Linked DNA regions of Arabidopsis thaliana. The protein of the gene in region 1 interacts with the protein of each later gene in a pairwise test. Each region holds a gene or a part of one and is shown in the gene's direction. Other genes may lie near its edges.

Region 1 (4,542 bases):
GCTTAACATGTCATCATCATTGAAAGAGAAGCAAGATGCTAACATGAAAACCAAAACAAGTTTTCATTCAGACACAACGTAATTTTGTTTATACTGTATCTTTTGTCTTTTATACATAAGATTACATACCTTTTCTTTTTGGAACTTTTACTAGGATAGTAGAAAAACAATGGTTTGCTCGTTTCTTTTTCAACACAACATTGGTTGTTCATAATTCTTAATATTCCCTTTTTATTAGTATAGATTTTAAATATATTAAAAAATGATAAAGCAGAATCTCAACCCAAAACAAAACCCTAAAATAAAACAAAACCACAAATCAAAACATTAACACGCTAAATAGAAGACCAAACTATATTAATAGTAGAAGGACAAAATCAAAGTGTTGGATTTAGTTTGTTACTTTTGTCCATCTCAATCCAATTTCTTCGACTTTGTGGGTGCCACAATTTCGACTTCAACGGGAAATATGAGTATCATCCCAACTGAGAAAAGGACCCAACAAACCCTGATCACAAAAGTCAACAAAATAACAATTTTGGTTTGCTCTTTAAACAAAGAGAGCATAAGATCAGCTACCATAGATAGGAGTGCCAACTGGATGATGAGTACTAGTTTTTTTTTTTGCGAAGAGTTTAATTCCTTCAAGTTTACTGTGTTGCCTACGACGCCTTAAATAACACTTCATGTAAGGGTAACTTAAAATTATCCACTCCCTAGTGAATTCTGCGGCAATGGAGGTCGTCAACGTGAAGAATAAAATTAGAGAGAAAATTTTCGGCCCACTTCCAGGTTCAGTAAAGGACTCAAATAAATCAAAAGGCGGAGACGACATATGGGTGAAACCTGTCGTTGATAGAGGAAAAGACGTTGTTAGAACCATAAATAATTCATACAATTTGGAGAAGCTGACGGAACATACCTGTGCAATTCATTAGTTTAAGCAGTTTCTGTCGGTTTTTAGTTAGAAATTACAGAATACAGATGGTTTAACTTCGTCTTTATACAATTTTATAATAAGGTGCACATGTGGTTGGATACATTATATCGTATCGAGCGAATCTTTCCTTAAAAAGGAAATATACGTCAAATATGTAAAGATTTGGCTTATATTATGTACATGTGAAAATTTGGAAAACACACTTTTTCGTGTATATATTTCTTTTTGCAATTGTTATACATATATCCTCTTAAGCTTTTACATTAGTACATGTGAAGTATTTGGAAAGTTTAACGACCGGTTTATCTATATGGAAACAAATTATATTTTTCCTTTTCTAGTACAGAGACACGCCTTCTTACACAATTTAACTATAAAGTTCATAAATGACATTCAACTTCGTTTTTATGTGTTTTGTTTTAAATTAATTTTATTCCCTTTGTCCATCAATAAGTATTTTATAAATTTCAAAGACTTAACATTAGTCTCGCTGCTGGAAACTCTGGTTTTGAACCTCCTCAATAGTCATCTGTCCACTTCTCAACTCAACATGCATCAGGGCACTTTCCTTGTTTCTCAAGAAACTCCATATCCTTGTCTCCATAATTAAATCTGCGGCTCATTACGATCAGGGCTCGTGACTAAGGCTCAATCTTAATAAGCATTGTCCCTTGATAACGTGCCCTCTAAGTAATAGCCTAAACGGCTGAACGTAAACAGGAAAGTCGAAACAGAGTGGAAGAAGAAGAAATCTTTATATTGTTGACTATAGTTACTACCATAACTGATACCATTGTTTACCATTCATAGCCCTTATTTCAGCCAGTTTCTTCATGGAACTCTCTCTCATTTCCCTATGATGTCGAAAAACTGGGCACAAATTGATGTCAGAAGCTGAAGTTCCTCAACAGGAATTACATTTCACAATAACAATGAGGACTCAAGTTTCATGTTTTAGTCAAACAGTAAACACGAAACGGAGCTAAAGAGAGAAACGCCAACAATACTCTTTTGTTTCTTTTTTTTCTTTTGTTATTTTCCTTAACTCATTTTTTTCGATTTTTAATTCAAAATAATATATGGATAACTATATATATTTTTTTAAAAAGTCTATACCTAACAATTAATAACAGTATATATACTTTCCAATATTCAACTTTTCGCACGTGATCCATATATATGCATACCTAGTTTTTCGCACGCTCATAAACCCCTCTATTCTCTCTTCCTTCTTCAATTCAATCTCTATCTCTTTCCTTGCGCTTCAAGCATTCATAGATTAGATTTTCTATCTTTAATGTCAGTTTTTTCGAACATACTCGATGAGAACTCTCGCAACTTGCGAAACGAAATACCTTGTGATGATGGAATTGCATCTCCCATCAACGACGACGACGAAGAGTTCTTGACTAAAAGTAATAGGGTTCTTTTGGTCGGTGCAGATTCCAATTCGTCTTTGAAGAATCTCATGACACAGTATTCCTATCAAGGTATCTAGGTAGATTGAGTTAGTTTTTTTTTTTTTTATGTTTCTTTGACGAATTAAGGTTGGTTAGGGTTTTACGTTACTTTTTTTTTTTCGGTAATTGAGGGGTTTACATTAATTGCGGTCTATGGTTATGCTTAATTTCGTGTTTCAGTAACGAAATATGAGAGCGGAGAAGAGGCCATGGCTTTCTTGATGAAGAATAAGCATGAGATCGATCTAGTGATTTGGGATTTCCATATGCCCGATATCAATGGACTCGACGCTCTCAATATCATTGGTAAACAGATGGATTTACCCGTAGTAAGTAAGTATATATCCCTTATTAATTATACCAATATTTTTTATTGTATTCTTCTCGATATATATAACGTAACGTAGTAAGACATTCTCTAATCTTTAATATGATCCAATGTGAAATTATTCATGTCAAGTCATGTCTCATGAATACAAGAAGGAAACGGTGATGGAATCGATTAAGTACGGTGCGTGTGACTTTCTTGTGAAGCCGGTGAGCAAAGAGGTCATTGCAGTTCTATGGCGACATGTTTATCGAAAAAGGATGTCAAAATCTGGTTTAGATAAACCGGGTGAATCAGGTACGGTTGAATCAGATCCGGACGAATACGACGATTTAGAGCAAGACAATCTCTATGAGAGCAACGAAGAAGGCTCCAAAAACACTTGCGATCACAAAGAAGAGAAGTCTCCGACCAAGAAACCGCGGATGCAATGGACTCCTGAACTTCACCACAAATTTGAAGTAGCCGTCGAAAAAATGGGCAGCCTTGAGAGTAATTAATTACACTAATTAATCTTGCGTGAATAAGCAAGTTACTTGATTATTATCTGACCTTTTAATTGCATTTTGCAGAGGCTTTTCCAAAGACGATTCTCAAATATATGCAAGAAGAATTGAATGTCCAGGGGCTCACTAGAAACAACGTAGCCAGTCATCTCCAGGTAATTTTGGATCTTTATTCTATTTTAGGGTTTTCTTGTTTCTTAGTGGACAAGAAACCAGTAATAAGGGCTATAACAATTTAAAACGATTCCGATGGCAGAAGTACCGTCAAAGTTCCAAAAAGACCTGCACTCCTCAGGAGCCTCAAGAAGATTTTGTCTGGGGTAATGCTGGGCCAGATGTCACTCTTGCAGCCTCTAAAACGCTCCTAAGCTCCCATGCTACACCATCGTATTTGATAAACAATCAAGCTGCGCCTAGAGGATCATATTTCATGAACAATATCCCGTATCCATCAACCAGTTGCCTGCCAGTGAACAACAACAACTGCTTCATGACCAACCCTTCCACTTATATTGACCAATTCCAGCACCAGCTGCAGCAGCAGCAGCAACATCAACAGTACCAGTCTACTCTAAATAGTATATCTGCCATGCTAACCAAGCAAGAATCTAGACACGTGCCATCATCAGCCATGGAAAATTCCGAGCCGCTCATGATCTATAATTCAAATCTACCTTTCGGTATCGACGAGTGTTTCCCACCTGCAGGATTCAACATTTTCGATCAGATTGGTCACAATTGATTATCCAATCTAAGGTGATGAATCCATCTATATATCTATCTATCCTAGTTTTTTGTGTCTCTCTCTTTTAATCCCTCAAACGCGAATAGCAATACCTTGTTGCTATATGCCTTTGTTATAAGCACTAGGTTTTTTTTTTTAAACTTTGGTCAAACCTATGGTTTAATAGTGAGATCTATATAATCACTTGCGTAGATATAAAGTTGATTTAGGGCGTGGGTAATCTCAATGTCAACATGGACACTACTCACTGTGTTTGGATTAGTATGTAGTTTTGTATTCGAACGCTCAGAGGCTTTTTTTTAAGGTTTTTTTACAGTCGACGATATTGTTACAGAAACTAAACGATATTTTATTTCTCTGTTTTCATTAAAACTATATAGGCTATGTAACTACAACAATAAAATTTGCGATTTCATTTTAGTATCCAAATTTTGTATATGTTAACTTCTGAGCATAATGAAATTTCAAGTACCTACCATGGAAATGTCAGTTTAGGATATTATGGGCCTTGCGAGATATTAATATTTTGAAGTTAAAAATAAATAGTCTGAAACAGTGGCATA
Region 2 (4,505 bases), on another chromosome or scaffold:
TATCTTTTCAAATGAACATTTTCCTATGTAATTGGCCAGCGTTTTCTGCGGTGCCAAAGCTCATATTCTCTCGATCATCTAACTGTAAACCTTATTACTTAGCTCTGGCAGATGTTATTATCTTTGCCGGTTTGCTTCGAGGCTTTGTGCTTCTAATTTAATCAAGTGTCGACATAATTGGAAAAAAAAACGAGTAAAATGCAAATAAATAACGATCACATATATAAAGAAGTAATTAAACTCTTTTGGCTAGTTATTTCGTGTGTTCTTCGTTTTTTTCCAATTTGCTTGGCGAATTTTCTTGTGAAGAAAATACTTGTTAAGAGATTTGAATAATTGAACGCGACCAAAGAAGAGTATGAGAATTGAAAATATCGACACGAACATTGATGAAGTGGGTCCAACACTCCCAGTACCAGTCTATTCGGGCTATTCCTATCTACGAAGAATCGGATTGCTTCCGTCGTTTATTGTTTAGATTTATCAAAGAGCCAGCCACCCGACGAATCACGACGACTCTTCTTCCCCCCTTTAAGGATGTTGACACCGTGTCGTTTTGTCACCTTATAGAGTTATAGTCATTCAGACGCCGTGCCGTTTTATCAGTTAGAGTTATTTTCTTCATGTTGAACCTTTTTTTGTCAGCCCGTTTTATCCCACGTTGAAGTTTCAATTAGCTTATTTTAAAAAATATTAGATCGGAGTATCTTTTGTCTAATTAACCAAAACTCCAAGTTACTACATTTATATGCAAATACATGAATGGGTCATAGTAATCACAAAACTATTGTTTTAATAAACCAAATATATGCGTTAAAGATGTTTACAGCTTTATACATATGGCGGACACTAGAACTAGTCCAACCTGCATGGAACATGCTACTAATTCCCTAAATATTGTATTATTCCGTATTCAATTTTGTACAGCTACGAAAAATAGAGTATTGTACATAAATGTCCATACGTTACAGATTAAATTAGTAAGCAAAAATGCTTTGATTAACGAGTATACGCTTTTGAGTACGGAGACAACATTTCGTTTCTTTATGTCACACGCGTTAAGAAGTTTAATAAAGATCATATATAATTACGACAAATATCTGTATATATTGTAGCTATATTTATAAAAACATATAACTTTGGTCATCGGTAATAGTTTAAAGATGTCGAGTATCAATACAGATTTAAATATGGCCGACCAAAGATAGACACACACATACAGACAACAACAAGCCAAATAAGAATCAAATAAATTTTTGTCAAAAAAAAGGGAAATTCTACAAGTGAAATTAGAGAAATTATCTAGAAGGATTTTAGAGGAAAGACTCCAAGGCATTAGTCTTTGAGCTGGATTTGGATTTCATTTTAATAAAACATAAATTAATCTTTAAACGCTATTATGTGCTTGGATTATGTACCACATAATGCGAAGGAAACATCTTTGTAGTTTTGCGTTCTTCATATAATAATATTTTGCCGTCGTGTATGTGTAGTATACATATATTCATCACTTTAGTATACAAGTTGCCACAAAGTTCTGTTGTTTATAATAAAACCAAAAAAAAAGAACAAGTTCTGTTGTTTATAATAAAACCAAAAAAAAAAAAAACAAGTTCTGTTGTTTGGAATTAGGAGATCGATTTAAATTTTTACAAAGCAAAAGGGTGTGTGTGGTCCGATTAATATTTTAGTATATGAGAAAAAGAAAGGGTGTGATCTAAATTATAGATTCAGAAGGTCCATTCAAAAAGTACAGTCTTTTATGTGTAGGTTTTAAGTTTTTTCATTATTCTTAAACGAACAAATGATAGATTAATTTTATTCTGTTTTTTGTTGTGCGCACTAGTAAGTGTATACTCTATAGCATTAGATAGAAAACAGAGTAACATGTCAAAACAACATCCAAAATCTAAAATCAGTATTAGTCGAAAGGCCTAATTCGATATTCGGTAGTATATTTTACCGTCTATGTTTAGATATATAATCTGTTGTTGACTGGAATTCGAATGCTAAATTACTAAACCTGACCAGAAAAATATCAGGAGAAAATGAACTTGGATATGACATCCATCAACTTGTCCCAATTGGTCCAAAGTCTCCATCTTTAAATACAAGACACAACCATTAACCGTTTTTGCCCATACTAACTCAAATTCCGTTATCTTCATTTTATTTGATTTAAACTATAAAATATACAACACAAAAATTATATTAAAAAAAGAAAGAAACGATGAATGAATCAACAAGTTTTCTAGAAACACTTATCTTCAAATATCTATAAAGCGGCACACTCTCCTCTTTCCCATCATCATCATCATCTTCTTCAACCTTGTCTCGATCCAAAATTTCATCTTTTACCAAAACTATTACAATATCCCTCACTCTACTTGTAAAGCTTCAATCTTCTTCACTTCTCAACAAACAGATAAACAAAAAGCTTCAATCTTTGATACTTTCTCGATGGAACTTATCCCCAATCTTCCCGACGACGTTGCTCGCGAGTGTCTCCTTCGCTCCTCCTACCAACAGTTCCCTGTCATCGCCTCCGTTTGCAGAGCCTGGAACCGTGAAGTCTCTCTCTCTCAGTTTTTACATCAGCGAAAAGCTTCACGCCATAGCCAAGAGCTTCTTATTCTGTCTCAGGCTCGTGTCGACCCCGCTGGATCCGGAAAGATCATCGCTACGCCTGAATACCGGATCTCTGTTCTCGAATCCGGGTCGGGTCTTTGGACGGAGCTTCCTCCGATTCCTGGTCAAACCAAAGGACTTCCTCTGTTCTGCAGATTGGTTTCCGTTGGATCCGATCTTATTGTCTTGGGTGGGCTTGACCCGATTACGTGGCAGGCCCATGATTCGGTATTCGTCTTCAGTTTTCTCACTTCCAAATGGCGCGTGGGGGCAACCATGCCAGGTGTACGGAGGTCCTTCTTCGGATGCGCTTCGGATTCGGATCGGACGGTGCTGGTTGCGGGTGGACACAACGAAGAGAAATGTGCGCTTACGTCAGCTATGGTGTATGACGTGTCAGAAGACAAGTGGACGTTTTTGCCGGATATGGCGCGGGAACGAGACGAGTGCAAAGCGGTATTCCATGCTGGCAGATTCCACGTCATCGGTGGATATGCCACTGAGGAACAGGGGCAGTTTAGTAAAACAGCCGAATCGTTCGATGTGTCTACGTGGGAGTGGGGTCCACTTACGGAGGACTTCCTCGACGACACCGGCGATACCGTTAGCCCTCCGACCTGCGTCGCCGGTGGGGATTTGTACGCGTGCTGGGGTGGCGATGTGATGATGTTTCTAAATGACAAGTGGCAAAAGGTGGGCCAGATCCCTGCTGATGTGTACAATGTTACTTACGTAGCGGTGAGGCCCGGGATGCTGATTGTGATCGGCAACGGGAAGGCGTTGGCTGGATACGGTGAAGCCACCGTAGGGTATATATGTGATTTAAGTAGCTCACGATGGGTAAAATTGGAAACACACGGTGGTCATGTTCAAGCTGGCTGCTTCTTGGAGGTCTAATGGAAAACCTATTCATCTTTGGAGTTTGAACCTAAACCGCAACAAACCAATGGGTAGTCTCGTGTGTCAATCTACAAATCTTTTCATGAACAACAAAATAAAGAAATATTGTATTTATTCAGTGTCACTTTACCAAATATTTATGTTCTCTATACAAAACTTCAAAAGGAAGATTTGAACTTTTAGGTTCTCTATACAAAACTGATCTAATTATATAATTGCAAGCAAACAAACTTTCGAAACATGTGTCGACACAAAACTTTTAAAGTTTATTAAAGGAGCCTTGATTTTGGTATCCAAGAACTTTAATGGGTTTCATAGACTAGTCCTATTAATTTTTTTACTCGAGGCCCAAATAGACCAGATTTTGAATGATGAACTTTTGATCTTTAAATGGGCTTTTGGATGGGACTTGAGACAAATGGATGGCTAGGATTAGAGCAGAGGTTTGAAATATGGATTACACCTGAGGGGCAGAGTTCGAAGATAGACTGACAACAGACTTTAAAGAGAGATGCAGAGACACCCTCTGTTACAAGTAACATCTATTTAATATCGATACAAAAGAAAAGTGCATTATATTTTCAGCAGGAGAATTAAATCGTAGCCGTTGAATCTGCAGAGGAAATAGGCGCCGCTTCGTTCTGCGTCACAGCTTTGTCATTAAATCCAACGGCTGGCAGCTTTATGACACACACAAACAATTGAATTGGAGCAGTGTTAAACTGTACAGAGAATTTAGCTTCTTTAGTTTCTTTCTTAACCAAAAAGTCAACACATTTTTGTATCTATTATAAGTCGGCCTATTTAGCCTATCTTTTCATTCATCTCCATACACACATCATCAACTTTATTGTAAGGAAAAATTTAAGATACGAAGACGATTACGCTAGCTTGATCGTTGTAGACTTGTCAAAAAGTACTACTTTCCAAAAGAAAATTGAGCATTGTGGTTATATTATCTTTTTTCAAGAAATTTA

Evidence for each region.
Region 2: the proteins of RR20 (region 1) and AT1G80440 interact in a two-hybrid assay, tested with the Arabidopsis thaliana proteins (one study listed by BioGRID).

The regions. Positions count from the first base shown.
Region 1 is NC_003074.8:23,175,990-23,180,531, reverse strand, and holds RR20 (two-component response regulator), read left to right. Parts: upstream 1-2,237; coding exon 2,238-2,430; intron 2,431-2,580; coding exon 2,581-2,733; intron 2,734-2,860; coding exon 2,861-3,220; intron 3,221-3,300; coding exon 3,301-3,389; intron 3,390-3,490; coding exon 3,491-3,976; downstream 3,977-4,542. UniProt on the Arabidopsis thaliana protein: Putative transcriptional activator that binds specifically to the DNA sequence 5'-[AG]GATT-3'. Functions as a response regulator involved in His-to-Asp phosphorelay signal transduction system.
Region 2 is NC_003070.9:30,239,303-30,243,807, forward strand, and holds AT1G80440 (Galactose oxidase/kelch repeat superfamily protein), read left to right. Parts: upstream 1-2,149; 5' UTR 2,150-2,460; coding exon 2,461-3,525; 3' UTR 3,526-3,874; downstream 3,875-4,505.